Yarrowia lipolytica: one gene and its partners. The protein of the gene in region 3 purifies or fractionates together with the protein of the main gene of each other region. This does not show direct contact. Links are inferred from orthologs where the notes say so. Each region holds a gene or a part of one and is shown on either strand. Other genes may lie near its edges.

Region 1 (10,122 bases), on a different chromosome or scaffold from region 3:
CTGTCCAGACCCACGTTGTACTCTCGGGACCGGCCCTGTCCTCCGGGGTTGAGGTTGACGATGGGCACGGTGAAGAGGTCGCCGTCCACCTTGGCCCGGTCGTAGCCTCCAAACAGAATCGAGCCCTTGAGGGCGTCCTTGTCGTTGAGCCAGAGGGAGAAGGCCGACGACTTGGTAACGCCATCCATCATCAGCGCCAGTGGCAAGTTGGCGTAGGCTACGGGGTTGTCGGTGTACAGAGACTGCTCGTTCTCAATGGGGCCGATTCCCAGCACGGCCTGTCCGTCGGACGCCGAGTCGGCAACGGCAAAAGTGAAGTCGTTGAGGGTGGTTCCACCTAGTCCGAGGTTGTCGGTTCCGTAGAAACCCTTGGACTCGGAGCCATCGCTGTACTTGATGTCGAAGGGGATGGACTCGTTTTTGTGGTATGTGGACGATTTGCTCGTGTCGAAAACGCCGCTCTGGGTGCAGTCAATGCCCTGGCTGAAGATTCCTCCTCCTCCGCAGTTGACGTTCTGTCCTAGCACCCACATGTCGGACGAGCCGGTGTCGAGCAGCAGCTTGATTTGCTGGCCGGGCGTGCCCACAGACACGGTGGCCTCGTAGTAGGCAAACTTCTGGACCAGGTCCTGCTCCACGGTTTTTCGCTTGGTCAGGTGGTTTTGTGACTGGTGCCGGGGGTCGGTGGTATCGTGGCCCTGGAGGTCGAGCAGTAGCTGGGCGGTGGCCGGGACCGCCAGCAGCGACAGCAATAGAGATTTCATAACGAGTGTGGTGGGTACGAGTAGTCGATGGGGGCCGTGAGCACGAATCTAAAGGGTCCAGCTCTTATAAACAGGTGAGGGGGCCGGAGCGCCAGGGGGTCGCAAGGTTCGAAGCAAGGTTCGCCGGTGGTGCAAGGGTTGTGTGGGGGGGGTGGCTGACAGCGGGTGTTTGGAGGGCTGTGAGGAGGTGGTAAAGACGAAAATAGGGCCTTTTTGATGTGAAAAATAAATCTACTGCATCCGTTTCCCAATATTTCCCCCACATCTCCAGATATACACACCCTGTTGTGTTGTTTATGTTATGCACATTCGCTTGTTAAAGTTATAGTGGGGCGGAGAATACTGACTTTTGGGTTGAATGTGAGGTGTATGGAAATATACATGTTGGAGATGGGAACGAATTGACAGTGACACCAACACCACCACCCTCCGCGGCCTCCTGGAGCGGAAAAGGAACAGCAGCTTCAGCTCCGTTTTACCGGCATAATTTTCAGCCGTACCATCGCACTACTGTACTTTAGCGGTAGTTTGCGACCTACAATAGCTCCACCTTTGCCGGCCAGTGACTAGAGTCCGGATTGCCCACCAATAAAGTTGCTGGTGTCGGTCAACAAGAATGTTAGGTGAGACATGTGCTCTGGAGGTATGTAGAGGGCCAAGGGGCTGTGAATCTGGAGTTGGTACTGCTGAGTAGGGGCCCTGTAGACTGGTCCCGTTACCGCCCCTCTGGTTGGTTGTTTTTTTGCCCGTATTATCTGCCATTTGGCCGTCCATATTGTCTTCTTTTTCTATACCCATGTCGATCTCGACGATCCCAGCAGCTGGTCTGCACCGCTGTATTATTGGGCAAGTGCGCTGTACAAGTGGAAGCGGCCCTCTTCGCACGGTTCGGACGGTGGTCACGTCCACGGGTTGCCATATTAACCAAGTCTAAGGACCAGCTTTTCACTCACACTCGTGCTCTTTTCTAACCCTACCAAGGTGAAACAAAAACAAAGACGCATTGTACATTAGTCTAGCCCAAAAAAACAAGTGGGGGAAGGTCAAAGTGGGTTAGACTTCCCCGAATCCGTTTGCAGAAGAGTTCAGGCCTTTTTGAGCGATTTGCGCAATACGAGACGAGCATCCGGGGAGAAAAACGGTATCGTTTGAGATGCGCAAGCATCCCGGTCGTGTCTACTCGCGCCATACCACCTGTTTGTCCTCTTTGACGCTCACATCTTCTCTGCCCCGGGCTTTTGTGTCTTGAAGCCCATGTCCCGCGCCTCTTTGTTGCCCCGCCATTTTGCCATATTGCTACAGGACATGCCGGAATGAGACAAACAGCAAAAATAGAACGACACTTGGTGCATGTTGAAAAAAAGGTCCGTGACGAGAGAGCGGGACGAAAAAAATGAGCAAACTTAGGTCACGTGGCTGGAGCGACGCGGAGAAGCAACAATTTGGCGATGACTGAGCGATCCTCGGTGTTGATTTGAGCTCACAGCGCGGCTCATTGTACCTGTAGCCAGGTACGTCAGAAGCTACAGTATGTACTCGGTCGCTAAACCGCTCGCTAATGCAGTGCGCGTCCCAGAGTCGGCTAAAGTGGATGCGGAGTTTTTTTCTGCATTACAGAAGAAAGAAGAAATTGGAGGAAATTGGAGGAAATTGGCAAAAATTAAGACTGGTGACGGATATCAAGGCTGTTGACAATGAAAACTTCATGATACTGGCAGAGCAGCAGTATGAGTGTTCTGGTATTGCTGCCCTGCCTGTCCCCCCGAAAATACACTCATAACTCCACCAACTTGCTGTTATTGTACAAGAGACATCCACCGAATGAGGAAGTTATAGAGTGTGAAGAATTGACTCGCCATTCCGGCAGATATGTGAGACGCCCATTCATGGACTTGACAGTATCTTCGGTGAGTACCCGTGAAAGTACAGTACGAGTACATGGAGGCAGTATGAATTAATGCACTTCTGACACGACCCACAAGAACGCTGAATACCTGAACAATAGTGCTGAAGCTGGAGATTAACCAAACTGTCGACACGAAGACTTCTGGCAAAACGCTACAAGTATATTTCCACTCTCTCTCCGTTCACAGACCCAAACACGAGGTGAGCGTAACAAGCACAGTAGTGTTCCGTGGAAGACCAACCGGTGAGACATGGATGAGAAGTGATGCTATAAACATGAACTACTTGTACGAGTATTTGTACGAGAGTTGATGTACAAGCTACTTGTAGGTTCGTAATAGCATCTAAACTGTGAGCATATACAAGTACATCCTGTACTTGTACACAGGATGGTACTTGTACAAGAACCATACGGATAATTGTGGTATAAATGTGGACACAGGATCATCAAAAAGGGTCACCGACTTGAGTGTGAATTGAGAAGTTGTCAAGCGGGATTGTTCTGGTCTGGTAGCCACAGATGAAGGGTTGTATACCATGCTATACAAGAGCGAACGGGACACTTGTATCAATCAGAGTATAGTCTGTCTAAGAAGTATGGGTTCTGTGGTCACCAACGATTCTCAGATGTCATTTCCATGCACACAACTACAAGTAATTATCTTTATCAACTCACCATGCCCGTTTCTTTCTAACGACTACAAGTATCGTACAGTATGAGTAGTCCGCATACCGAGTCCCCACAGACATCATAGTAGATAGTTTTAGCTGAAATGGAAACTGAAAGTAATACTACTGACTGCCCCGCCATTTGCATTCAACATTTCACCCTTCTGTATCTACTATGATGTCAGTGTTTCTCAGATCTACCTCCTCCTAGTCCTTGCGATCAGCCGCCTGCATGAACCTTCAAAATTTTCACTGTTGATTCTGAATGAATATCAGCTCGGAAGGGAAACAGAACTGCAATCTGCTTGCTCGTAAAGATCAGATTGTTCCCTCGTTATTAACGCTCCGTCCCTCGGGTATTACTGTGTATTAATCATCTACAGGTAGCTTTCATGTCCTGGTCTTAGGCCAGTCGTTTCCGCATAAAATGGGTTAAAAGTTTTATTTTTACAGATTCGAAAATCGCGCTTACTGCTGAGCACGGATCTCCTGGATCTTGGCCTGGACACGGGCGTCTCGCTCGGCCTTGGTGAGCTTCTTCTGCTTGTACTTCTTGGACTCAGCAGCGTACTCGGCCTTGGTCTTCTTGGCGGTAGGCTTGTGGTCGGGGTCAGCTCGGATCTGCTCGTGGGCAGCCTGGAGGATCTCCTCGACGGAGTCAGCGTCAACCTCGTCGTCGAGGTAAGACTGGAAGATCTGTCGGAATCGCTCCTCATCATCATCGGCAAGCTCCTCCATGTACTCGGAAACGTGGCCAGCGAAGATGTACTTTCGCAGGGTCTCGGAGTCGAGCTCCTCGGACTCGATATCCCAACCGGGGAATCGAGAAGCGGAGTGGGGGACGTAAAGTCCACCATCGGAAGCACCCTTGAGAACACCGAAGCACTTGGCACCGGTGGTGGTTCGGGTCATACCGACATCAAGGAAGACCTTGAAGGGTCGAGGACCGTCCTCAACGGCCTCGGTGAGCTCAAACTCACCCTCAACCTCCTCAACTCCCTTGTAGGTCTCGTCGAGGCCGAGCTTCTTGAGAGCTCGTCGAGCAACAAGAAGACCGACGGCGTAGGCAGCGGCCCAGTTGGTAAGACCGTGCTTGACACCGTATCGGGGAAGCTCGTGAGCGTAGGCGGCAGTGAAAACAATGTCACCCTTGAGCTGGGAAGAGACAATCTGGGCGATGATGTCCTTGTTGGTGAATCGCACAACAAGTCGGTACTTGGGGGTGTTGTACTTGGCCTTGTGCTGGGTCACGAGTCGCTTTCGAGCATAGTAGTCGGTCTTACCTTCTCGTCGTCGACGGAAGGGGGTCTGGAACCGAGAGTGGTAGGCAGAGGTCTTGACAATCTTGTTGAACGACATTGTTGATGAAGACTGATGAGATGAGACGGGATTTTTCACCATTATAAAAAATAGACCTTGGGAGTTTCCAAGCCTGTGACTGTTTTCCCAAAAGGGAAAAGTCATGTGATCAGAGTGGATTTTGAACCTTAATTTATAGGAGAGGGGTCAATGATGAAAAAATGAGGGGAATATGATGATAAAAGGATACAGAGTCGATTGAATGGCGATAGATAATCAAGAGGTTTAGTGGTATTTTTATTTTTATTTTTATTTTTATTTTTATTTTATATCATTGAAACTAATTTCTTTTGGCTCCTTATTTCCACCCCTATGTGACATTTCAGTATCTCAAATATCGTATAAAATCGCCAAAAATGGAATATTTGAAAATAACCCACAATATAACCACATAAATATGTTCATCGGATCTTTACGCTTGAGAGAAGAAAAAATCGGACTCCATCGAACCCCCTGAAGACTTCAGAAAAAACCGAGATACTTTTTGTCTTCTACCCCCACCCATTTGTGCTGCATGACGCTGTTGTGTGTCACGGGTCCAAACCTCTTGTTAGGAGTTGTAGTACACTCTTTTTTATACAAAAAAAAAAAAAAAAAACAAAAAAACCCATATTAATTTATTACTATTTATTTCTTATTCTTTTATTTATATAAATTTGATTTATTATTTATTCATATTTATATTATTCTATCAATTTATAATGTACAAGTTCATGTACTCAGAAGATGCTGTGGACTCACTGGGTAGTATATCTCAACAAGTATGACATCTGTGGCACGAGGAGTACAGCATATATAAATTATAACTAGATGATCGCTTTAAAAATAGTACTACTGTTGCAGAACTGTACTCGTTTTCATTCCATGGTGTGCGACTATCTTGTTAATGGATTGATTGTGGGTCTACCATACGTGCAACCGAGTACAAGGAATCAACAGACGAATTTTAGGGCAATCTGAGAGCCCAAGGAGCTTGAAATTGGATTAAACGTATCAATGTTACTCCGAAGATGTTTTTTTCCTTCCCCATAGCATCCATTGTATACGCCAGGTGGGCATATAAAGATCTGTGCTGTTACTTTAGTGTTGGACATGCCAGTTGACGACTTCAAGTGGATTGCTGATACAGGCCCCTGGACTTCCGATATTCATATAGTGGTCAACTATCTTTCTTATTCTCTTTTTGTCCACACCACCAGGTATTTCTAGTACACCATATTGATCATTGTACGTCAGGCTACTTGTAGCTTGGAGAAGTGTCCACGAATCCTTGTAACGATGCCCGGACCAACAATGGAGTACAGGGAGGATATAATGTTGATAATCTAGATGCTCTTCTGACCCGTGCCCATTCCCAAATTTCGACACTTGCCCAGGTTTTTTTTTTTTTTTCTGCATATACATTCATTTCATTATAAGGTACTTGTATCGCTGTTGCTTTTCTTCCGTTATCTCAACTACTGTAATTAACAAAGGGACTATATGGTTAAGTGTATACTTAGCTTTTTACTTTCCACTCCCCGAATGTCAACGAACTATTGTATTAGTGATATACAAGAGGAAAAAACAAGCAAAAATGACAAAAATGATTCAATCACCCGAATAACAATGACGCTATTTTTTATTTTTTTTCTTCTTGATTTGTGTAACTAATTGCACGCTCCATCGATATCTCCGCCACCTGCATGGCCCTGCATAGAGTTCTCTACGCCAATATGGATCTGTGGACGTGATTCCGCCGCCACCACACATGGAATATCGACATCTGGAACTCGCCAGCCATCTGTTTGACTCATGCATCTTTGACGAGGCTCTCAGCGTGCTCGAGACGGGTCTGCTCCGAACCCCCGTCGAGCTGCCAACGTCCAAAGAAACAGCCATTCTCATGACTCTCGCGGCGTATCCTCTCTCGCACCTAGGAGGGGAGACCGTCAAGACTATGACGTACAACAGCGTTCATCGGGGAACACGCGACTGTCAGAAGACGCCTGGAGCACGCGCCACCGCCCTTCTGAGACGCTTGCTGGAGTTCTCCAAGGGATCGGGACCAGCCCAAGAACGCATGAAACTTGTGCTACGATCATCTCTCATTGACCATATCGAAGAGGAGGGCGAGCAATCGAACACTACGTCAACACAAGCGAAGGAAACTCGGACAAGCACATTGGAGCATAAAGGTTGGGACGATGTGGCACAGGTACCTGTCGATCGTTCAAAACACGAAGGAATGGATTCGAATCTGCTGAGAGACATGGTGCCTCACAATGAAAATCTGAAGAAACTCTCTGATCATCTACGTCCATTGTTGTCGTACACAAGAACCTCTTTGTGGTTATCGCTGTGGACAGTCTATGGGTACTACTTGGCATGCAGTGGGTCCCCCAGTGCGCCACATCTGAGTGCCTGGGCAACCGTTCGACCTCTCTTGCATGTGATCCAGGACATTGTCGAGGCTGACCCTTTCATTTTGCTCAGTTTCTACGATTCCCACGGCAGCATGTCCGAAATCTGCAACCGAATCCTACCAGGCAAGGGACGACCCATCACTCCTCTGTTCATTGGAGATGTAGATTTCGGTCCCAATTTCGATCCCGAGACAATTGACCATCTTAGGGAGGTTGCATTTGTGGAGAGTATGGTCATACGAGAAAAATGGGTCGAAATTCTGCGGAGTAACGTCGAATTTTTTGGCGCAGAGCCGAAGGCTGAGTGGTACCTGCTCGACAGATTCACTACCTTTACTGCTACTCATCATCAGGTGATTCCCCAGGTCTACCCCTGTGTCTACCTACCAGATTACTACACTGTCTTCATTTTTCATAAGTACATCAAACGGTGCACTCAACGGGCAGGACATGTCGTCAATGCTGGGCAGTTTTTGGAACGAGTTTCTAAAGGAGAGGAGAAGGAGTTGTACGATGATGCTATGGATTTACTAGAGGTGGCGTTAAGTGACAGCCCTGATCGTGGCTTGTTGGAAGGAGGAGCTTCAAAGATTTACTCTCCAGTGCTTTACGCCTTTTATGGTCATGCTCAATTGTGGGTGAAATTGGCCCTTCAGATCGGTTCTGACACTTTTTCGCCAAAAGATGTCCTGGAGTATCTTCGGAAGGGGAGGACGACGCGTTTCCAGGTGTTGTCCTCGTACAACGAGAAGAATGAAAAGGCGCCAGTTCTTTGTAAGCAGGAGGAGGATGTTCTTACTGCCATTGTCAAAGCCAAGTTGATCCTCAATAAGTATTTGTGAATATGGCTGTTATTTATATGTTAATGAAATGATTGAATTCCGGTAGGGGCACTGCACAGATATACCGAAAATGGTCCCAGGGTGGTGTCATTGGCGACAGATTCACGTTGGTCTTACAGTACATACTCTGCTCCTCTATCTGCGTATTACCATATCATGAAGAACGTGACAGAAACCAAATGAAAATAATTCTGACCACGACTAATGTCATATAAATATAATTGGTATCAGCTAATCTCATTAAAGCTGTTTTTGTTAGATCACCATCAGTGAATCGGCTTGTTTCAATGCCAAAGATTCTGTTTTCTTTATTCTAGGGAAATACATTTCATCTACTTGAGGCTAAAGGCAATGTTATACCCGCAAATCGGATTCGGATTCGACATCGGTTGTTCAGAAGAGCGCATGACATTCGTGTTCGCTTGTTCACGTTTTATTTCTGTTCCATCTCTTGACCGGATTAATCATCTGAATTCAGTTTTGGAAGTCCACTTTGCCTGTATAGGCATGTAACGATTCAGAAGCTAGTCATAAGGTGTTATGATTAGTCATGTGCCTTGGCACGTGACTGGACGATGATGACGTCCGGAGGACGTCATGAGTGTGTCATTATGGATGAATACTTGGTATCGCGTGGCTAGGTCACGTGGATAGTGACGTGCTTTACAGAGTTAGGGTTGAGATGCCTGTATATATAGCCACCACTCGCAAGTATGTAAGTTAAGTTATGTTTATACGACTTCCGGAGCTCGTACTATTGGTGTACTGTTCTGTAGAGTAGGACGAGCGGTTCCCGCTCGTACCTAGGGATATCTTGAGGATTGACCCATCACCGATCCGTTACAAGGCATAAACCTGCCTTCGTGGCCAAGTGGTAAGGCGCAGCACTAGTAATGCTGAGATCATCAGTTCAAATCTGGTCGAAGGCATGTATCTTTTTATATTTGCAAGCAGTTCTGCACAAGATTTTTTGACGTGCTCTTCGAAGCCTTTGACATACTCGGAGGAACTTCGTCTAGACCCATCGTGACACACTAATAAATGAGACACCTACAAGTAGGGTCAACATCTTGAGACTGTATTGAACAGTAGAATGTCCTAATTTTTATGACCGATCACTTCATGCAAATTCCGTGCCGGAGATACAAACTAGATATTGCTCTAGTCCCAAACAAGACACTGAGGCCCGAGGTATCCAAAACAGAGCCAATTGGTGACTCTGCGACGCCCCGTCAGGACATGAAAGTTGAGGAAGAAATTTTGGGCTGCAGGACGCTTATATGGAGAAATTGACTCGGTAGGGTAACTGGGCTAGTAGGGTAAGAAGACTTGGGAGGAGGTTTTGGAGAGTGGTTAGAAGGGGGAATAAGGAGATGTTGGGTGGATTTGATAGATGGGTCTGGGTGTGTTGTTGTTATTGTTGTTGTTGTTGTTGTTTGGGGTGGTTTGGGCCGCTTCTGAGTCTCATTCATTGGGCCGTATTTTTGGGACCGATTGGCGGGTGACGTGAATATTTAAATTATTTGCGATGTTGTTGGTAGTTTTGTTGGGGTCTGAGATGTGTCGGGGGGTGGAACCGATGATGTGAGTGAGTGTTTCGATGTTTGGATACAAGGTGTGAGACGCGGGGGGGGGGGTATTTCAGGCGTGTCATTTTGGTCGGCATTTCTTCAGACGAGTTATATCACAGTAGGCGATTACGAGCAAGAGTATTATCGTGGACACTGGTATGCATGGTGAATTGACGTCCTATACTCTGCAATCAGACATGAACTGTCACAAAAAATAAGAAGTGAAATGTTTACAGAAGCCGCCAGAAGACGCATGGACTCATCTGGAAGCTGGGTCGGACCACATGATACCCCCCAATATTACTCCAAGTCATGCGCACCGCACGCCCACACATGCCACACAGGCCGCCGATATTATCACAAGCGTCGGCTTCGGCTTATCTGACCGCAAGTGTAGGCAAGAGCACGTGCATATTGAACCAACCTGACGAAGCACGTATGTGCGAATGTACAAGGCCTGTCAGATTGAGAGTAGACCTGTACCAAGGGTAAAATGACTGGAAGACGCGGAGACAAGCCCGAAGATGGCCCAAAAGATAGACCGTGGCCACCAGCGTACGCACACATCTGCGAGAGTGACACCATCACGCTGGTAATCCCGACTCTC
Region 2 (9,933 bases), on a different chromosome or scaffold from region 3:
AAAGACCTCAATGTGGTTCTGCCGTTGCCAGTCACGGGGAGTCACAATATCGGTCACAATTCCAGAGGCCAAATCGATAACGTGCAGACCTGAGATGAGGCCCGTCTTTCCTAGGACAAATTGGGTGGAGTTCCGCGATACACTGCCTTGTCGAGTTTGCAATGAGGTCAGCCCGGTGATGGCACTGTCGGCTCGATAGTACACCCGGTCCGGAGACGCGAGGTCCACAAAGGTAGGAACTACAAACTGTCTCGAAGGAACTCCCTTCTTCCACCAAATGAGACCGTTGTAGGATGCGACGGGGCTTGAGTCTTGTGAAACTGCCGCATAATCTACCATTTGCCGTGTTTCCAAGTTGGCTAACCAGAATTGGCGCCGATCAGTCTGTCTCCATTCCCGGAGTGTTTCTGTTGTTACAAGAACACCACCCATTTCTCTTGGCTCTTCACTTGTTCCGTGAAAGTAGAAACCGTGATCAAAGTGAGGCTTGTCTCGAGGAACTGCGTAAACCTGACCTGTATTCAGGTACAGGGCCACGAACGACTCGGTAATGGTCAGAGGTTCGAATTCGAGAAAGTCCTGGGACTTGATGGAGGGTGGAAGGGTCACCTCGAGATCCCTGCACTTGATGACTGTTTTGTCGTGATCCTCAGCCACCACTACAGGGAACACTTCGTGTTCGAGACTCTCTAGCGTCAATTGACTCCTCACATAGGTATGTTCATCGCCACCCACTTTTATGGACTCGGTTAAGATATCTCCCGAGTTGTCCGTCAAGCCCGTGAAGTTGCTGGGCAGGGGTTCATCACCTTTGATTTCGAGTCCTATGACAGTTCTGCGTTCCTCCTTCTTTGCAGACACGTCAATGTCGTCTACGGACTCTGCCGACTGCCATGATCGGAGACGAGCAACAAACACCAACACACAATCTGTCCATGAGTTGAAGTCATCCACGGGTTCGGTCCACGGGTTCCGAGCCTTCATCTGGGCTCGGAAATCGACCTCTTGGAACGCGGTGTACCATGCTGAGCTGACTTCCCGAAGACTGACACATGTTTCTAGGTCGGCAGCTTCATAGATCAATCTCATGATTTCCTGGGGAAGATAGGAGCCGATGCTTGCGGTGCTTTCAGGTCTGGTGGCATCTGAAGAGGTCATGCAGATCGGCCTTACCGTTCTGTCCAGTACCACGTGGTTTCCAAATGGTGCCAGATGGTCTTCCCAAAACTGCCGGCGACCAGCTTCGTTCTCACAGCCGCGCATGATTTTCAACAGACCGGTTTGCAACATGATTTGTTCCTGCTGGGCGAATCCTGTTGCATTTTGGTTAATGAGATCCCACTTGAGTTTGACCTGAACTAGCTCCGTCTCTTCCCCGTAGGCAGCAAGTACCTGGCTCATCTTATCCAGCACGGAAAGATGCTCTTGCAGTTTATCCAGCATGGCGTTTCGACTAGCCCTTTCTGTGTCCCGTATGTAATCGTAGCCTGTCCTGAGCTGAAGGGCCCGATCACAGCATTCCGCATACGTAGCGCTTGGACAGAAGGGAATCTCCGCGATCAGCCCCTTCATGGACTTGTTGAATTTCTCCATGCTTGCCATTAGGTCAATGAGCAGCTGCTCTTCATGCTCGGCCCTGTGTCTTCCGAGAGTAGAGATGAGATCCAACACGTTAGCTCGGGTTTCACTGGCATCTGGGGTATCCATAGTGTGTGTATAAGGACGAGTGAGATGACGATAAACCTTGGGAGAAGTGAGTTGCGAGATTGGTGACAATACAGATTGCAAAAATCGAACAACAGGATGAGTGTGAGACAACAGGAGACTACAGTACAAAGATGGGTCAAACTACAACGACTCACTTGAGCTGACACGCTCATGACAATAAATATATTCAATGCAAGTTAGTAAATGTCGGGATTCATCGTATCAGAGATTGTAATGAACAATGACAGACACGACTGGGGTGCTGGATCAAATGGTGAGAATACTGCGTTCACGCGACATATCACGCAGTCACAGTCAGTTGTCCGAGCGACGTGATCACCCAGTAGCTCGAGTCGCTCAGTGAATGGAGAGGACAAGACACAGTCACTTTAGGTCACTGTAGCAGTTGCGGAGTCTCGAACATAGCTCAATTAGCTAAGACAACCCGTGTTCATGAAAAATATGGACAATTTGACCGCGCACGTAGGTTGAGTTGTGAGACCCGGAAATCGGGACCCTCAACTTTCCTGTCCCAATCTGAGGGCCTCCTGTCTAACCAGTTTGAGCATGACATCTGCCTGCTGCGGCGAGATTCCCATTTGGCTCAGCACGTTCACCGCCACGACATCAATGTTGACATACGAGGGTGGCAATCCGTAGTCCTCTTCATTGTCCACCACCATGTGTCTAGGGATCACAATGTACACCATGATCATGGTTCCTTCCATGAGATGTTCGTGCAGACCGCTCTTAGCCATGCTCAGGGTCACCACTGCCTCGGGACGTTTGTCTTCGATGCCCTGGCGCAGCTTTTGGGCCTTCATCAACGCGTGCAGCTCTGGCACCTCCTTGAGCCGTAGAGTGTCGAATTCATGCGACTGAACAACGCCGAAAACGCGCACCGAGTCGCGGAAAATGTCGCGTCTGTCGCCCGTCGTTTTCCCGGCCACCAGACGAGCCAGCCGGGTCACTGATGTTGTCTGTGACATGGGGTGAAGAAGAGTGGAGGATTAGGTTCGATGTTGAAAAGATGAGGGAGGTGGTAGAATGGCATGCAGAGGAGGGAGGAAGATGGAATTTCAACGGGGGGATATTCCAGGAATCGCAACCATGTTGAAGGTGAGTATATTCAAATCGAAAGAAAACTGAGCAAGATTGAACAGCTATGATGTAGATATACTGCAACCTTAACAAGTATCATAAACTACAGTATGTACTGTACTGTAGAAGAGAAGGGGGGTTTCTATCATGGCATGATGAGACTTGAAAAAGAGTAAAAATGGTATCGAATGATAGCCCAAGACAAGATGGGTACGCGCAACCTATTATTGTGGCTCTATAATGAATGTTGAGATGTTGAGATGTAAGTCCGGTTTTCTTGAGTCCCGAGACCCAGAAGAAACGGCAATTGGGGTATAAAGACTTGATCGACTCCAAAGACACATAGACAGTGAACAGAACCACCTCTACTATCCTCTCATCTCACGATTAGTAGCATCAAAGTCTCCCTAACCATTATACAAGACTACATGTACTGTAAACTACAAGTACATAAAACGCTCCGATGTTTGCTTCAAAAAGGAGTATTTTCCCTTCGTTCATGCTGTGTTCTACGGTAGTCGTCCGCAGGGAACAGTGAGTTCACGAAGACACACTCGGTCTTCGCTCAATGCACACTAGTACCGCGTTTGCACGCTCTCCTCTCAGGTCGATTCACAAGTGCGCTCTCAATAGAACCACATGTCGTTCTTCAAACCCGATGTTCGTTCGGTAAATAATCTATTAGTCATAATAACAAGACACATCGGCTTGCCAACATCCCCATGCAATAACTTAATATTCTCTGGTGCGTTTTCTTCAAGCTCGCATCTTTCGCTTGCTCTTGGACTTGAGCGCAATCTCGACCTTCTCCCGCTCCTCCTCGGACTCCTCCTCCTCGGACACCTCCATCTCGGACATGTCTTCGTCGTCGTCGTCCTCGCCGGCCTCCTGCATTCGTCGGAGCTCCACCTCTCGCTCTCGCAGCAGCTCGGGGTGAGCCTCGACCAGTTTTCGGTCCTCCTCCAGCTGGGCGGCCTTGTTGCCCCGCATTCGGTTCTTGTAGAAGGCCCGCTCTCGCTTGAGCCGGATCTCCTCCACCTTCTCCATGGCCTCCAGAGTCTTCTCCACGAGGTCTCGGTTGTATCGCACGGGCACGTCTCGTCGGGCAGAGAAGGCCAGGGTGGAATCCACCACCATCTCCTTGCCAGCAGCCTTTCGGAACGCCTTGGTCCATCGCAGCTTTCGGGGGTTTCGCTTCATCTTGAAGTTCTTGTGGCACTTGGATCGGCAGAAACGAAACTCCTTGGAGTCGTTACGCACGAACATGATTCCCTTACCGGGATACACTGGCGACGAGCAGAAATGACAGTTGTACACTCGCATTTTGTGGTTGTGCGGTTGTGAGGTTGTGTATGATGATGAACGAAATCTTCCGCATGCACTCTATGTCAAAAATATTTATTTGAGTTTGAAAATTCTGCACGTCCAAAGTCTGTGGCGAGAGTAAGCGAACAGGGATAATGTGTTGTATATGAGAGGTACAATGAGTGTGACATGCTCATTGAAATATCCACGTGATAAATCTCAGTCAATTTCCGTTTTGCCTATTTTGTCGATTTTTATCGGATTTTATCGGATTTTATCTCATTTAATCCAAATAAATCCAAATAAATGCAGTCCCGCTATAAGCTCACCGCTTACTAAGAACAAGGCGGCTTGGAACGAACGAGTTGATCGAAAAGCGTCTTATGGAGTCTACAAATAGAGAGCAGATTTAGAGAGGTGTCAATGGCTCTTAAAAACGCATTGCGGCTAGAATTGAGCACTCCTGATGACCCGTACTTCACATATTTGACTTGCTCAAAAGAATGAATCAGAGGCATCTTGTCTACTTGTACTAATACTTGCTATGAACAAGAGTCTTTAAATTGTAAACGAGGTACTTGTACTTGTGCTTGTGTGATGTTTCTGAACTGATAAATACACTCTCGTGATCTCATCATCAACACACAGAAGATTCTGCTGCTGAAGAGTATACATCCCTATGGTCAAACAGTGGATACAAGAAAGGGACCTTTTAAGAGCATAATGAGACGAATCGTCATTGAATAGTCAACAAACCAATTGGGTAAACCTCAAATCGTTATTCATTGAAGTTTTTAGGCCTCCATTACCTCATTTATGTGTCTTACCTCGTTCACTTGCGCTAGTTGTTTAGAATTTTGATCCTCCACAGCTCAGACATGATTTTTATTGAACATGTAGTTCATTTATATGCTTTATTCACATAATTAAATGTTCCTGTACATTTATATATCTTCTAGTAGTCCTTTATCTCGAGTCATACTTCTATCTACTGTATATGGAGTTTTCACTGGAAACTTATAGACATCATAACACCCTCATATTTGGATTTAAAAGCCTGAATATTTCGGATTCTGAATAATTAATAGACAAAAAGGGTTTTACTATCACTAAAACCCCTAAAACCAGCCAAATTTCTCTTTTTTTACATCTTTTGCAACATATTATTTTAACGACTTTTTACTCCATCTTCCGCAATAGTTTAGTGGCTAGAATTTCCGCCTGTCAGGTTTACACCAGCACGCGGGGGACCGGAGTTCAATTCTCCGTTGCGGAGTACTTTTTTACCAGTCAAATATCCCCATACCCTAACCCTAAACCAACATGCACCTCCTACCGCCAGAAATATCTGCCTGCTATTACTCAAAATCACAACCACCATGCTTCTCGTTTTGAACACGGCGAGGCGGGGTCTCTTGGCCTCGCCCGGCAAGTCGCTGGTTCAGCAGCATCTGCGACCGCTTTCGATGCTTGTGAATCGGCCCATTTCTCGAGCTCCAGCTGTCCCTGTTCTTATGGCTGTTCGAGGCAAAAAGACCGACTCTGATCTGCCCCGAGATATCGATCCTATTGACCCTCGAAGCAACTCGTTGCGATCTCGAATCCCATCTTTCCCTCTCGGTAAGGAGGCCCAGCCGACCATCATTCCCAAACCCGACACTCCTGTGGTCGGCCCTCGGCTCTCTTTCACTGAAATGATGCTGATCCTGAAAAACAAAAAGGAGCCCGAGTTGCTGTACGAAGCCGAGCCCCACCGTCTCTACTTTGTCATTTGTTTCTGTGGCTCGTTTGTGCTGGCTTTGTACGGAATCATGTTTGGAGAGAACCTGCTGAGTGCTGCCTACATGGACTGGAAGATGAACCCCACCGACGAGCCATTTGTGCACCAGATGTTCAAGTTTGGACTGAGATCTGCTGTGCCCATTGCCTTTACCTCCATTTTCCTCTTCATGTCCTACGTTCTTGCTCGTTTCCCTGGCAGACTGATCCGACGTCTGTACTACCTTCCTGGCACCTACATGAAGGGTGTTCCCGAGCACATGCAGGGCGTGGATCACATTCGGTTTGTGACCCACCCCTATCTTCCTGGTAGACCCTCTCCCGTCTACACAGTGAACCTCAACCAGCTGCGATGTGGAGAGAGGACAACCATTTTCACCAAGGACGGTTTCTACGGTACCGCCTCCAAGTCATCCTTCTTCTTCTTCATCTGGGAAGGCAAGAGTTGGGTTCCCTGGGTGGTCGATCGATCCGGCTGGTTCTGGGGCGACGGACGAGTATGGGATGTACTGTTTGGAAAGAAATCCATCAAGGAGGCCGAAAAGGGTCTGTCTGAGGACGACAAGATCAAACAGCACTGGCGAATCCAGGACGCCGCCAAGGCCGAGCGAAAGCTCAAGGAGGGCAAGTCCTTCTATATCAACGAGTACAAGCGCGGCTTTGAGCGCGACTTCAACACCCTCAAGGCTAACACCGTCGGGCTTGTGGAGGACATTAAGGAGAAGCGAAAGGAGGACAAAAAGAAGGCGCTTGAAGAGCCCCAGACAAAGTTGACCTGGCAACAGAAGCATAAGCAGAAGTTGAAGAACAAGAAGAAGCAATAATCTTGTTGTGTATATAGTAACTGATTAACCGAAGAGCACGAGGGGAGCGAAGATCATGAGGCGTAGCAAATCATCCTTACCCAACGCACTTGTAGCACGAGCTAAGGGAATGCTCTGTAAAATTGAAAACGAATACCCTTACTACGAATGTATCATGTAAGAACAATACTACATACATACTGTACATATGTAGTTGACCTGAATTACTGAGTTACAGTCATACCATCAAGGAACGCTACAATAAGAGCACCCCTTAGCAAATGCTCTTCACCACCATTCACATGTTTACCCTACCTATATATATCCTTCGTTATACTGTATAGCACACTCTATGTGCTGTATCATCTTATGCTCGACATTGTCTCTCCTACTCCTCCACAGTCAAATGATACTCCAGTCTGTTCAAGAAAAGCTTGGCTCGCTTCTCGGCACCGGGGACCTTGTCGTTGACTGTTACATCGACCTGCACAGTGTTGGAAGGCACCTGGACAGCAGCCTTTCGGGGCTTTCGGTCCGACAGAATGTCATACAGGTCGGCCCCATTGGAGAGAGCCCGCTTTGTGGACTTGGGGTAGATGACGTTCACGTCGTAGAACTTGGTGCCCTTGGCGGGGCCGATGATAGCCTCAAAGTCGGGGTCCACGTTGGCGGATCGGCGGGGCTTTGCGAGCTCCACGGCGTCGTATTTGGCCAGCTTGATGGCCTGCTTGACGATTCGCTGCAGCTCGAGCTGGTCCTCGGGCTCAAAGTGGGCCACATCGAGGAACGAGGTGAAGATGACAGGCTCGGGAGCAGCCTTGGTAGCAGGAGCAGCAGCATCTCCAGCCTTGGCAGCCCCAGTGGGAGCAGCAGCATCGCTCTTCTTGGCGGGCTTGATGTTGGACAAGTCGAGATGGGATCGCTTGTTAATCTCGTCGGCAACAGCGCCAGGAGAGCCCTCAGGGACCTTTCCGAGGTAGGCGAGAATGTCGCCCTTGAGAAGCCGGCCGTGGGGACCGGTGGCCTTGATCTTGGCAAAGGCGTCCTCCTTGGAGATGCCATTGGCCACAAGAAGCGAGGACACCGAAGGGAGAAGGGTCTGTGCGGGGTTAGCGGGGGCAGAGTAGCCGGATGATGAGGGAGCAGAAGACGATTCGGTCTTGGGAGCCTCCTTGGGGGTAGAAGGAGCCTTAGGGGCAGGGGCCTTAGCCTCCTCCTTAGGGGCCTCCTTGACCTCCTCCTTGGCCTCCTCCTTGGGAGCAGGCTTGCCGTCCGACTCGACAGGAGCAGGAATATCAATGGTTTTGATGTCATCTCCGGGCTCAGCAATCACAGCAATGGTGTCTCCGACCTGAATGTCCTTGTCACCGTCCTTCTTGTAGATCTTGGCCATGACTCCATCGTCAGCAGCCTCGACGTCGATCTGGGCCTTGTCGGTTTCGATCTCAAGGATGACATCACCAGCTGAAAACTCGTCGCCCTCCTTGACCTTCCACGACACAATGCCTCCCTCGGTCATGGTGGGACTCATGGCTGGCATGGCAAAGTTGCTGGCCTGATAGAGGCGAGGGGTGGTGTGGAGCACTGGGTTAGTAAAATGACGGCTGTGGGTCCGATCGGACAACAACGGAACCAATACACGGAAACGACTAGCCGCAGCTAGGTCAGGAAAGGATAATAGCATGTGTAAACCTCACAGTTTAACACACAGCAAAGTCCCGGTTCAGCGTCTCAGATATGATTAAATGCCGAAATTCAAGAGCCAGAAGAAAAAACCGAAGAGAGCAGAGTAATGTCACTTGTACCACTCAATTGCAAGTATTTCACAAGAGGACAGAAGTGGAATGGGTGTAATTTGTTCCATATTAGTGGAAGTCATCAGGGGTGGATCAGAGATCAGATCGGAGAGTGACGACATCGAGAAACACGGAACCTGTGCAACGGTCGATATTCACTGGCACAAAATGTCAACCCTCAAATCACCCTCATAATAACACCATCTGTATCAACCATCATAGATGTCTCAATGTAGACTCAACCCGTCAGATATTGAATGTGGATACCCATAACCCCAAGAAGATGCACTTGCCGACAAGAGAATCAAAAATCACCACAACAAACCAAACCGATCAATCAACCTCATCTAACGCACTCCCTTTTCTCTTGTCCTCACCCATCTCCATTCTGCATTGCTGATCTCCTTCAGTGTCCAATATCTGCGTACTGTATGCAACGAATAGCAACAAATGGCAACAGTGTAGTAGAGAAACGAAAGCTGTTGGAAACGAGACGGCCTGCTCGCAATCACACGGCCACGTGAACCACAATCTACTCTGTATCTCCGTCTCCTCCTTCTGTGTCTCCTTCTTCGACTCCCGCCCAGCATCACACATGTCACTAATAATGCACTCAAGGGGAGCAATTGAACGGCAGTCACGATGTGGAAAACATCCATCTGTATGTGACTCGTCGCTGCCAGCAATACTCACGTCGGGCCCGGGGAATAACTCTCAACAGTCGGTTCATTGTGTGCCTCAAAGGTGTCGTTATTACGTTCGGACAACTGACGTTGGTCTCGACATTCTGTTGGGACGGAAAAACAACGCACCCTAACCCTCGACTAATTTTCCGGTCTAGCATCTTGTTGGGAGTGGGGGTCGAAAGAGATTTATTTGATGATTTATTATAAAAAAAATTAAAAAAATGAGACTTGAAGAATTGAAGAAATTAGCAAGCTGGACCACCGATCAAAGGAGAAGATCAAGTATGATAGAACAGACTTAACAAAGAAGCTGTGGACCAATGAGTAGCTACAAGGTTCTTCCACTGTTACTGGTGCATGCTGTGTGACATCTACATGCGTGTGACAACTGCTCAATATGAAAAAATAAAAATTTGAAAAGTTTTGAAAAAAAAAAAAAAAAAAAAAAAAAAAAAAAGAAAAACTTGCGGCAGAATAACGACGATTTTGCCGCTAAAGAGTTGCTTGGAAAGATCAGGCTTGTTGAATCAACTCACCAAATCGGCCTATGTAGCCTGGAATTGATTCACACTTGTGGGACTTCCCGACATACGTACTGGTAGTATGTCTATGTATAGCCCCTGAGAAACGACAGCGCTTGTCTCTGACACTTTTATTTCGAAAATTCGAGGTAAATGATACAAGAAACCAATTCGAAATCGCAAGCTGATTAAATGATACTATTATGTCTACCCTTGCTACTGCCGAATGCCTCAA
Region 3 (11,495 bases):
CTCCTTCCTCCACTATTCAACCGATTGCCTCTCTTCTTGTACTTCGCAATAACCTCCTCGAAGGTCTGGTCACCATGCTTTTGCTTGAACCACATGCAGTTCGGGTCCTGGTTATGAGCGTGTTTCTCGGCCTCCTCGGGTGTCAGCCACTTCCAAGACTTGATGTTCTTGGAGGAGCCCACCTTTGTCCAAATCAGACCCTGCGCCTTCTTATCTCCTTTCTTGGAAGTGCCCTTTTTCTGTCGAATTCGCTCATTGGCCTTGTCCATGATCTCCAAATCATCAGGAGACAGGAACTCGTCGCCGTCAGGAGCTCGAGAACGGTTTTTGAGCTTCAGCTCTTGCTGAACCTTGAACGCTTTGGCAGTTTTGGGGTCAACTCGCTTGGCTCTCATCAGTTGCTCTTGAGAAAACTGCGTGAACGCCCCCTCCTTGACTCGGTACATGTTGGACTCTGAGCCTCCCAGCTGCTCCACGTTGCCTGTAGGCTGGAAGTCGACCTTGTAGTTGAACATTGGTTGTCGGTTGCTCTTCCAGTTGGGGTCCTTGAGTCCGAAAAAGCCCTTAACAGTCATATCGTTGTTCAACATGATCTCACACAGAGGCTGTCGGAAGGCGAAAACTTGTCCAGGGAAACCCCAAATGACAGCCTTGGGCGACCCGTGCTCCTTGGAGCCGGTCCGTTTGATTCGCGCAAAGCCAGCTCCTTCGAAGGCCACCTCAACACCAACTCCGTCTTCTTTATCAAAAGAAACAGTACCAAGCTCAGCCAGCTGAGGAAGATCCTCCTTGCCCATATCCAACAGGTTGTACTGGGCTCTGCCGTGATCCTTGCCCTTTCGACACACAAAATTGGCCTTGGCAGCGTTGGTATGCTTGGCTAGACAATTTTTACCGGGAATAGAAGTCCACACGAGCAATTCGGAGTCAGGGGTGGTTTCAACTCCAAACAGACCGCTCACAAGAGCAACCTGGTTCCGTTTGATGTGGATATCAGAACCGGCAAATTTGCGGGCATTATCAGTCAGAATCATTTTGTCGGTGAGGTAAGAATTGTTGGTGGGATCAACCAGACTCCAGGGAGAGTTGGCTCGCTTGAAAGCAGGCATATCTGTGATCCTGCCCATTCCCATCTTTCTAGTGCACGGCATAAGAGTCTGTTCAGGGTGCCACGAGGTGTTCTTCCACTTTTTGAGCTCCCGTCTATTCTTGGGGAGAGCGTATCGCAATTCATTGGCGTCCTTGCTGAATTTGGCTTCGGTGAGAACATTGAAAAGAGAAGTCTTGCCAGTATTGGGATAACCGACAATGAAGGCATTCTTCTCATGCTGCAGATCGTACATGGAGAATTGGTGATGACCTCCAGACTTGTCATGTTCGGCGGAGAAGAAATGGACATTGTCAGCGGACATTTTGAAACCAAGGCTCTGCATTTGAGCAGCGGCCCACAATTGCACGTTGACTGAATTGATCTGCGGCACGTAGATGACGCCCTCAGCCTTGGTGAGGATGAGTTTCAAATTCCGTCGTTTTCTCAAAAAGATGGGAACATTGGCAGGGAAGTCGTGAATGGAACAAGTCAGAAACACCGTAGCAGTGTCAGCCTCAGCCGAAATCATGTCCAAAATCTCCTGGTTGTATTTTCGAATATCCTCTTTCAACTCGTAGGCCTCTCTAACTTGGTTGACAAACGGAACACGCTCATCAATGTTGTTTCGTTGCAGCTCGTGACATCGCAAACACACTCTAGGGCCTTCTCCTTTCAGTTTGACCTTTTGGGTGTAATATTTCTTCGCCTCAAAAACGTCAAAGGGCTCGTCATTGCTTACTAGATTCTGCTCGCGGGCCAGAAACTCCAGGTTCTCAGCACTCATGTTATCGATTAGGGAGTTGAACCGATCTGTTTCCTGTTTGATGTTGACTTTCTTGGGCTCTACGAAAAATCCAGGCTGATCTCGATCCTCGGTGTGGAAAGGAGTGTTACACGAAGCACATTCCGTCTGTTCTTCAACCGAGGAGCTTGTAGAAAGGTGTCGAGACGGAGCAGTCGTAGTAGTGCACGAACTGGTGATCAGTGTCGGTGCTCTCAAAGAAGTGACTGTAGTGGTTTTCGAGACTGTATGTAAGTGTTTACACAACAGCGGGGCGGTGTTTACTCGAAAAGTGCCCACTCTGGGCCGTAATAGCGTCTTTCGAGCAAGTCTCATATTGTGAATAGGTCGGTGGAAAATATCCTGCCAGAAAAGTTAGAGGTTCAATATTTCATGCATATCAGATGCAGATGCAGTCTACTGTGGCGAATGCTGCCGCTGGACAATATCAGTCAGTCAGAGGTGATTTGGAAAGCTAAAGACCGAGGAAAAAATGTGTGTCACATCCTGTATCTAAGCGATATTTATTCTTTTAATTTCATTTCCAACACAGTTTGCAAATGACACATGAGTTTTTTTTTTTTTTTTTTTTTTTTTTTTTTTTTTTTTTTCTTCATGAGAGGTTCGAACCTGGGGAGCTCGACTCTCTAAGTATTTACTTGAATTTGTTTGTTGGAAAATGGTTGATTCTACTGTAGAAGCCCAGACTAAGAGAAGAGACGATTCAAGCACAGGAGATCTACTAGGATTCCATAGAAAACAGGTGTACTGAAAAATCTTTGTTGTTCATCCTGTAGCTAGCTCTGTCTGCTGATGAACAGCCATCTGACTACAGGTATTGTCTTTAGCTCCTTGATAATTGCACTTGTAGTATGGATGTGATGAACACAGTATTGTACACCTACTAATGCCAAATTTTCTCGTGGTTATCCCATGGCATCTTGGCTAGCAGTGTACATACATAACACACTTTGGATCTACTTCGCGTATTCTTGATTTCATTCATATTGCATTGTCTATAGTCTACTAGGTTACTCCATCTCCTCGTCCTCATCCTCCTCCTCGCTCTCACTGAGCTGTTCGGGCTCGTCCTTGAAGTCGGCCAGCTCGACCTGGTCGGACTCGTTTCCGTCGTTAGCGTCCTGTTCTTGCGATTCTCGAAGAATGGCAAGCTTCTCGGCTCGCACCTGTCGCTGCACCACCACATAGGAACCCAGAGGGGTCTTCTGCCAGTCCAGGTCCTTGAGGAAGTTGTTGACCTGGTCTCGGTTGGTGGGGCCAAAGTCAATGTTGGCTCGCTTCTGCTCAATAAACTTGGCGTTGGCGTCGATCTTATCCAGCAGAGTCAGCAGCTGGCGGTTGAACTTGGAGATGTTGGACCGTTTGGTAAACCGCTTGAGAGTGATTACAGCTGGAATGGCAAGCTCGGGGAAGGCCACTGACTTGCAGTAAAGCACAAAGAACTCGGACACCAGCTCCACAATCTGGTCGCACACACCCTCCTGGTAGACTCGAGAGCCCAGATAGCCCTTGTTGGCTCGGATGGCGTAGTCAAAGTCCAGGGGCTTGAGAGCCGAAGACTTGGGGGGCTTGGTCATGACCGACGAGTTAAGCAGCTCTGTGAGAAGAGGCAGCAAAGGGATGTAAACTCCAGTTCGCTGGGAGATTCGGAGCAGAGATCTGATCAGGTAGAATCGCAGAGGGAAGAACTGGACCGAGGGGATTAATCGGATCGTTCCAAGAGTGACCTGGACCAGAGGGTATAGCAGAGGTCGAAGAGGGGACTGAGAGCCCTTAGTGGCCTCGTTCTCGGCGTCACAGGTATCGGCAACCACTCGGGACCAGTAGTCCAGAGAATGCACAAACTGCCAGTTGTAGACGGCCTTGTAGGCGTGTTTGGAGGCAGTCTTATTGGTCAGAGAGCCTCGCAGGTGGATGGCCAGCTGTCGGATGGCGTCAAAGGCAATAGGATAAGCCTGCTGCTCGTTGACAGCGTACAACATGGCGGCGGTATTCTTCATGAAGTTGATGGTGCCCATGGTGTGGAACGAGGTGTTTTTGCACGAGTTGACAAACTGTCCGTAGGCGGCCTTCAGAATGGCCTCATAGGTACCGGAGTGCTCCTTGGACTCAGTAATTAGCAGAGCAAAGGCAGCCTCTCGGGCAGAAATGGCAGAGCTGGTACCCCAGATGTAGCACACGGAGGCGATGAGGTTCTTAGTGAGCTTTCGATGACTCAGCATGTAGGGCATGACCTTTTTGAGTGCAGCAATGGACCGGATAGTCTCCTCGGCTCCAGTGGTGGTGCTCAAAGACTGCTGCAGGACATCTCCATACGACTTGATGATAGCTGTGGCAGACTTGTTGTTGGTGGCGGATTCCTCGTCGACAACGCTGGTACCCTTCTTGGACTGCTTGAGAGGCAGCTGCTTGGTCAGAACCACAGGCACCCACCTGTTGACCACATCAAATAGCTTGGTGACCACCTTGATGTCGTTGATAACGTATTTGAAGTTGGCAGTAGCATTCTCATCCTCCTGAGAAGCTAGAGCAGCCTTAGCAGCCCGCAGAGCGTTTCTAGCAGCGTCGGTAGATTGAGTCTTCTCCATGGCAGATGCCCACTTCTTGACCATGGCCAGTGTCACCTCCTCCTTGTCCTCCTCCTCGGCGTTGGCGTCCTCCTCCACGTTCTCCTCGTCGTTTAGGTATTTGAGAAACTCGGGGTCGTCCATCTCGGGGGCCTCGTCCTCGTCAGAGAAGGCCTCTCCTTCAGAGTCGTCGTCAGCTTCAATCTGATCCTGCTCGTCCTCGTCTTCCTCGTCTTCAAGTTCCTCCTCGTCCTCGTCCTCCTCAGCGGCCTTGCCCTTCTTTTCGGGAACCTCAAATCCACCCTTCATAAAGTCGCCCACAGACATGTCTTCGAAAAACGAAGGAGCAGCCTTCTCGACCTTGTCTTCGGCAGAGACGCTAGCTCCAGGACGTCGACCCTTGACGGCCTTGGCCTTGGCAGCCTGGTCCACACGTCGCTTATCTATGGTTTTCTTCAGATGCTTGTTTTGGAACTTTTTCGTCGCCTTTGATGCCTTACCCATAGTGATTGTCTTGTAGTGAGATGTGCTTATGCTCAATTTGAAATTTCATCTCGAATTTTTTTAGAGTTGATGCGGGCAGAAAGTTTAATCGAAATGTTGATGAAGACAACTTAGACACGTGATATGGAATCTTATACACGTTAAAACAGCTGTTGACATATATATGTGTTTATAAGACCCATCAGGAATCACATTTACGTCTTATTTTCTACTCATAACCTGTAACTCCACGTCCGGGGGGTGCAGGCTACAGATTTCGAAACGCTAAAAACCGCCTTCGTGGCCAAGTGGTAAGGCGCAGCACTAGTAATGCTGAGATCATCAGTTCAAATCTGGTCGAAGGCAAATATATTTTTTTTGGCTTCCCTTTTCACGAAGACACCAGTACCGGCGGTATGGACTGCGCCCACGCGACTTTTGCTGTATGTGGGTCAGGATTTTTCTAGCGTGGGTTGGTTTGGGAGTGTGAACTTTAGTTGAGGTTTTAACTAAATTTAACAACATGGGGGTGTTGGTATTAGTTTGTTGTAGGGGTAAAAACAGCTTGATTTCCTTTTATTTTTTTGTTCAATATATTTCTACAACTGTCAGAGACATGTAAATATACGTCTAATTACCATGGACTGCTTGCATCCGTTAGACAACCCCAACAGGCAGTTCTCTTAACTAAACTTCCAACAAAGTCAACTACTGTACTTGTACTAGACCACAACCTGTAGCACACCTACTCAAGAGTAACATAATATATTGGGGTTGCTAGTTTTTTTGAAGAAACCTATCAAACCATACCATGTGAGAGGATTCCCAGAAATCATTCAAACCACTCTCGTCCCCCGTAACCGTCCTGTACTTGTTATCGCCTCGTTGCTCCATCCATTTTACATCCAATAACCACCACGGTGCTTCCTAAACCTAGAAGTCCACCAAGGTGTGTAGTGTTATCCCAATATATAATCTGTCATCAGCAAACGACATGGTATACGATACACGGTGGACACCACGATACGGAGGCACACACAGACACGGACACAGACACAGATACAGACACGGGCATAGACGCAGACACAAACCGACGAGACACAGAGACACAAATACAGATAGTATGGACAACACGGACAAACGACATGGTGGTGGAGTACGGTCATTGCACAACACACCCAGTTACCAACACTCAGACACAGAAGACACGATGAAGACAATTCCCCAATGATGAGCGAATCATCTTTTGCTACGTCACCGGTGCTGTAATTTCCGACTATCTCGTTCTATCTCATCTTTCGACAACTCGGCGATACTCATCAAGATAATGCCAATGCTATCTATCCACTATCAGAGCTTCGGATAAAAGTCGCAAATAAGAGAATAACCCAGTTTCATCCCACAGTGCTCACCTCCCCTCCCTCCCTCACCCCACTTTGATACCAGGGGAATATAGTGATATCCTCATCTCTTTCAACGATTACTACAGTTCAAGTATGTACCAACGCGATACCAATATGCCGACATCGAAGCGCTCCTGATTGATCCCACACCGTCCACAATATCCCAGAGTACCAGCAAGTACCTCGGCTGTCCCTTGACCAACGACTAGACAAATGAACAATCCCTACCCCCAAGAACAGCTCGATAACCACACTACGATATTTTCCATCGATACCCAGACGTTTCTACAACTACCCAGATGGGGCATTGGACGTTCGTCTACAGGATTACCCACATCCACCCACCATACATGCTGTCGATGCGCTTAGTAAGTTTGATGTCTCTTGCATCACAAGATCATGTCATCAGCCGCACAGCCTGTACCTCCTCACTGATCTTCAGCTCTTCGATTAGGCTTCTGTAAATGCAGCTAAAAAGTCCCGAACCCAATTTTTCCTGATTCTTGTTAATGCCCCAGTGAATCCTGCAGGCTTAGATTGGATATTCATGAGCATGGTGAGAAAAACGTGTCTAAGTGGCGCTTTTCTTTGCGTCCTCAGGGGTCTTCACTCAAAGCATCTAACCACTCACACCACTCTTGTCCTCTTTCTGCAGCTCTCGCAGCCTCCTACACCCCGCAAGCCCATTTAGCCTTCACTTACCCTACAGTGCAGTGTGAGGCCCAAGGTTTGAAATTTTTTAGAGAAGCGAGTCTTGATTTCTTGACGACGTTTGTTGTGTGAAGACGAAGAAGAAGAAAATGGAAGGACAGGCCCAGCAATTCCGAGGATACTCTCGAACATGCTTCAACTGTGAGTGTTTTGATTTTGTGGTGACAATGAGCAGACCCACGTCATGTTGTCGGGTGATATCACCTGGAGATTATGTCACATGTGTTTTTTTTCAACTTTACTAACCATCCAGGCGGTGAATTCGGTCACCAGGTGCGAGCTTGCCCCCGTGTGGGCAACCCCGTTTGCTACAACTGTGGCAACGACGGCCACATGTCCCGAGACTGCACTGAGGAGCCCAAGGAGAAGGCTTGCTTCAAGTGCAACCAGCCCGGTCACATCCTCAAGGAGTGCCCCCAGAACGATGCCATTGTCCACGACGGTGCTGCCCCCGTTGCCCCCAACGGTGAGGCCCCCATTGGTGGCGAGTTTGGCGCTCCTCGAGGCCCCTCCGGTGTCTGCTACAAGTGTGGCAAGCCTGGCCACTTTGCCCGAGCTTGCCGAAGCGTCCCCGCCGGCGGTGCTCCTCCCAAATTTGGCCGAACCCAGTCTTGCTATTCTTGTGGCGGCCAGGGTCACCTGTCCAAGGACTGCACCGTTGGCCAGAAGTGCTACAACTGTGGCTCCATGGGCCATGTTTCCAAGGAGTGCGGCGAGGCCCAGAGCCGAGTGTGCTACAACTGCAAGAAGCCCGGCCACATTGCCATCAAGTGCGATGAGGTCCGAGCTGCTTAAGCAGAGTTATGTATTATAGATATGACTGATTGAAGTGTAATAGAGTAGGGGGTGTAGTCATCACCATCACGAGCGATAGCTGGTGGTGCGAGTGATGCGAGTGAGTGTCAGTGAGAAGCGTAGAATACTTGAAACCATGTACAACGATCCAAACCAGGCAACAATAATGAGATACAGAGACATGCGATTTGAAACCACGGGAAGCGTTCGAAGCCCGAGAGAACGGATTGGCCGAGGATCAAACAGATCAGAGATGCACGAGGTACGAATAGCCCTGATTTCTGTGTTACTAGTTGAGCACCACCTGGATGTGTGCGATGGGATGGGTTTCCCCTATTGCACATGGTGGTACTTGTATGTCCAGTTGGTACCGTTCGTGAGAAAGATGGGTCATGGTACACTACTTGTAGTCATAAATGGTTGGAACACATTCAAGCCAGTCTTTTGCTGATCAGGGATCAAGTCCTGGGGTGTCTGAGAAATTCTAAAGGCTTGAGCTCATGTTGTAGTATGATACAAGTACAGCAGCAACGAGGTATCGAACAGGGTATGATCTAAAACAAGTGACTAGACTGAAGTGAAGGCAGGGTTTACGTTTCAAAAGACGAATCTGAAGAACGAGTCCCTTGGCCTTCCTTTGCCAATACTGTAATGATATGTCGTTTGGAGTGAATAATATATAAGGATCTTCCAGCATGTGAGTTCTCAAAATTGGGGTTGGCTTGTAGAACGATCTACTTCTGCAACAGTGCTCCCGATACTAACATCTTGAACATACTCGGATACAACGAGAAGCAGATCTGGTATCACTCTCTATTAGCAGGGCTACTCCTATCATGCAGGCCATAAATCCCACACTACCTTCCACATACACTCATTTTCTTCTGGTTGTACAAGTATCGCTTTCACCAAGTGGTCCATCATTGCACTTCCTGGCACGGCTAATACACTACATACAGTAGTCGTCTCTAGTGTACAACTATGGTAGCGCCGTTTTTACCCCTGCAGAGGGAATATTCCGTGGAGGAGGATGCTACCCTGCTAAGAGGGTTGCTGTCATTGCGAGTTCCGGGGCCAAGTATTATGTCACATGTCCTGGTTGTTATTAGTGTCCTTTTCAACGTCCGTTTATGTAACAATCCAAGAGATATGGAAGCTACAAGTACATACAGTAGAATATACCACCTAACAGTTGATGATACATACACGATATTAGAAGTCTTCTAACTGTTGTATCGTTTGAGCTTCATAAAAGTGCTACAGGTAGTGGTTGGTAACGCCAGGTAATCTTCGTACTGTACTCGTACTCGTACTTGTACGGTAGCCTCGCCATTGTAAGGCTCTTGAGACATGTTTACCACGCGATAAACTTGCGCTAAAGCCCTACTTGTAGACGCGTTTGAGTAAAGGATATACGTCTCTGGAACGCGTCCACAAGAAGCCAATTGACCGACATTTCTTGTTCAAGTAGGCTTCGATGGACCAACAGGGCCGGAGCCCCAGCCACACTCCGCCGACCGTGGAGCTGTACAGATTGGCATTCTCAGCCCTGGTCTGTCCTTTACAATACCCAAATAGGCAGCCGCCTTGTAAACTCTACCCGATTTGTGGGCCAAAACAACCCAAACAGGAGAGATGAATGTGCATCGATTGTGATTGTGTAGAAAAAGCACATGTTTGTGAAGTTTAGTTGCTCAAGTGAGGAATTCACTATACACCGTGACGGTCTCGGTCATTGCTCAGTGGACAGTGTTTGCTTTTTCCATTATAGCAATACAAACAAGTACCCCTTGTTTTCTGGGTGCGTGCATCGTATCGTATGGTAGCATACCGTAGTAATTGTACCACCAAAACGGATATTCAGGCCAGGTGACGGCAAACAAACCTAGCCACAGTTCTTTGTGCGGTGCCTGCTCCGGTCTAGAGGTTTTGGCACTGTCTTAGTTTCACGCCATGTCTCTGCTATATCCTAGGAATGTGTTTGTTGGGGATGCGCTATGCTTGCTTATCTATATCTGGCGACATGAGCAAGCATGAGAAGTGTGCCAGGGGAAACTTTATCGGAGCGACAGAGGCATAGATGTCCAGAGAAGGGGTGTGAACTGGTGGGCAGGTGGTCAATGAGTTGTCGTACTTGGGCCAGCCAGCGCTCTTTGTCGATTTACGGCGTGTTTCTCAACAATATGAACATACTACGAGCACTTCCGACAGGGGCAACGGCGGGACTAGTACGGGTACCGGAACAGGTTGCAAAGTTGCCGTGCAAACAAGGCTCAAACTTTGGACTAAAGGAAATGACACAATATACTGTACTTGTACATTACAATACACAATCTACACGAACAAACACCCCTTGAGACATGGGACGCGACTTTATGTGTTAAACTTAGCAAGCAATTTTCCGATTGTGCAAGATACTGTAGCTCCTGGGCCATCTACGCGAGGTGGATAGACATAGGGTTCATTTCACGGTGGCGTGTAATTGAGGCCGCGTTGGTAGTCACGAGGGCTTTTGTTGGTGTCCATAGCGTCAATTGCGACAACTGGGGTAGCAAGGTCGTCGCACGGAGCTCATTGAGAGCCATTGGGTGCGATTGGAAGATAATGCACTTGGTTGAGTGTGATTGCGTTTGATTGAGCGCCATTGAGCGCCATTGAAGGTCATTGAAGGTCATTGAAAGCCATTGCGTACGAATGAGAGCAATTACTCCACTTAATTCCCTTAGTTGGTTGTTACTTGAATGACTAATTGACATTGTTCAAAACTCAACTACGGGCTTGGAGTTTAGCTTGAGCCACCCCCACCGTCCATATTGCGCCCTAGCCTCAGCAATATGGCCCAATTTGGGCAGACGGGCTCGAGTGAGACCATTGATTGTCGCAGACTAAAATTGCACCATTGGATGCTACTGAAACTGGACTTGCTAAAAATACCCGTGGCCAAGCGACGATACTTTACGATTCAGTAATTGCATCGAATCGTCTGACTGACGTCATTCCATGCGGAATCGAGCCCTGCAGATCCACCCTGTGGCAAACCCGTCATCATGTGGGGCAACATCATGTGAGAGTAGCCACATGAGCGCCTGTAGTAAGAGCATAGTACAGTTCAGTGAGCCGCACACAGTTCCCCACAAACATGACAGTATGTTTGGAGACGGAGCTCGGCCTCATCCAGGCTTATTCATTTTAGCTGCCGCACTTTTTGCAGCCCCACAACCCATGCTTAATCCATGTGGCCCGTCTTCGTCTATCCCCACATGCCCCTGTTTGAGCAGGGAGTCTGGAGTTTAATAGAGAGCCGACGGAGTGCGGGATAAATCGTGTAAAATCGACGAAAGGCCGGGCGGCAACTTCCAAGCAGTCATTCAAGAGCTGGACTCTCACTCTGCTTTTTCTTCCCCCATACACCCGAATTGCCCTAGTACAACCCGCACTCCAACCCCTATCTTATCTCTGGTGCGCACCACTTTGCTGTTTATTAAGCTTCAGGGGCGACCAGTAAGGGCTCAAGTAAATGTGTGACTAATTTCCCAATCAAGTGGAGCGGGAAATGCCGGCTCGGAATGTGACGCATCCAGTCGTGTGGCAGCAGCCCCGGTAAACTGGTAAACTGCTGGCGTCGGCTCCAATTGCGCGCCATT

The links.
Region 1: the proteins of YALI1_D14893g (region 3) and YALI1_E26336g purify together in Saccharomyces cerevisiae (affinity purification with mass spectrometry; 4 studies listed by BioGRID, with this or other methods). This does not show direct contact. The link is inferred for Yarrowia lipolytica from reciprocal best matches to the Saccharomyces cerevisiae genes NOC2 and RPL5.
Region 2: the proteins of YALI1_D14893g (region 3) and YALI1_B13137g purify together in Saccharomyces cerevisiae (affinity purification with mass spectrometry; 4 studies listed by BioGRID, with this or other methods). This does not show direct contact. The link is inferred for Yarrowia lipolytica from reciprocal best matches to the Saccharomyces cerevisiae genes NOC2 and RLP24.

Annotation. Positions count from the first base shown.
Region 1 is NC_090774.1:2,628,346-2,638,467, reverse strand, and holds YALI1_E26336g (60S ribosomal protein uL18), read right to left. Parts: upstream 4,803-10,122; coding exon 3,807-4,802; downstream 1-3,806. Other genes in the region: YALI1_E26377g (uncharacterized protein), read right to left, coding at 1-764; YALI1_E26320g (uncharacterized protein), read left to right, coding at 6,448-7,944. UniProt on the Saccharomyces cerevisiae protein: Component of the ribosome, a large ribonucleoprotein complex responsible for the synthesis of proteins in the cell.
Region 2 is NC_090771.1:1,309,574-1,319,506, forward strand, and holds YALI1_B13137g (ribosome biogenesis protein RLP24), read right to left. Parts: upstream 4,132-9,933; coding exon 3,565-4,131; downstream 1-3,564. Other genes in the region: YALI1_B13112g (uncharacterized protein), read right to left, coding at 1-1,707; YALI1_B13122g (uncharacterized protein), read right to left, coding at 2,226-2,696; YALI1_B13150g (uncharacterized protein), read left to right, coding at 5,493-6,716; YALI1_B13179g (uncharacterized protein), read right to left, coding at 7,084-8,379. UniProt on the Saccharomyces cerevisiae protein: Involved in the biogenesis of the 60S ribosomal subunit. Ensures the docking of NOG1 to pre-60S ribosomal particles. Activates and recruits ATPase AFG2 to cytoplasmic pre-60S ribosomal particles.
Region 3 is NC_090773.1:1,484,398-1,495,892, forward strand, and holds YALI1_D14893g (uncharacterized protein), read right to left. Parts: upstream 4,964-11,495; coding exon 2,903-4,963; downstream 1-2,902. Other genes in the region: YALI1_D14866g (uncharacterized protein), read right to left, coding at 1-2,207; YALI1_D14910g (uncharacterized protein), read left to right, coding at 6,645-6,805, 6,864-7,128; YALI1_D14915g (uncharacterized protein), read left to right, coding at 7,146-7,197, 7,310-7,851. UniProt on the Saccharomyces cerevisiae protein: Involved in the intranuclear transport of ribosomal precursors.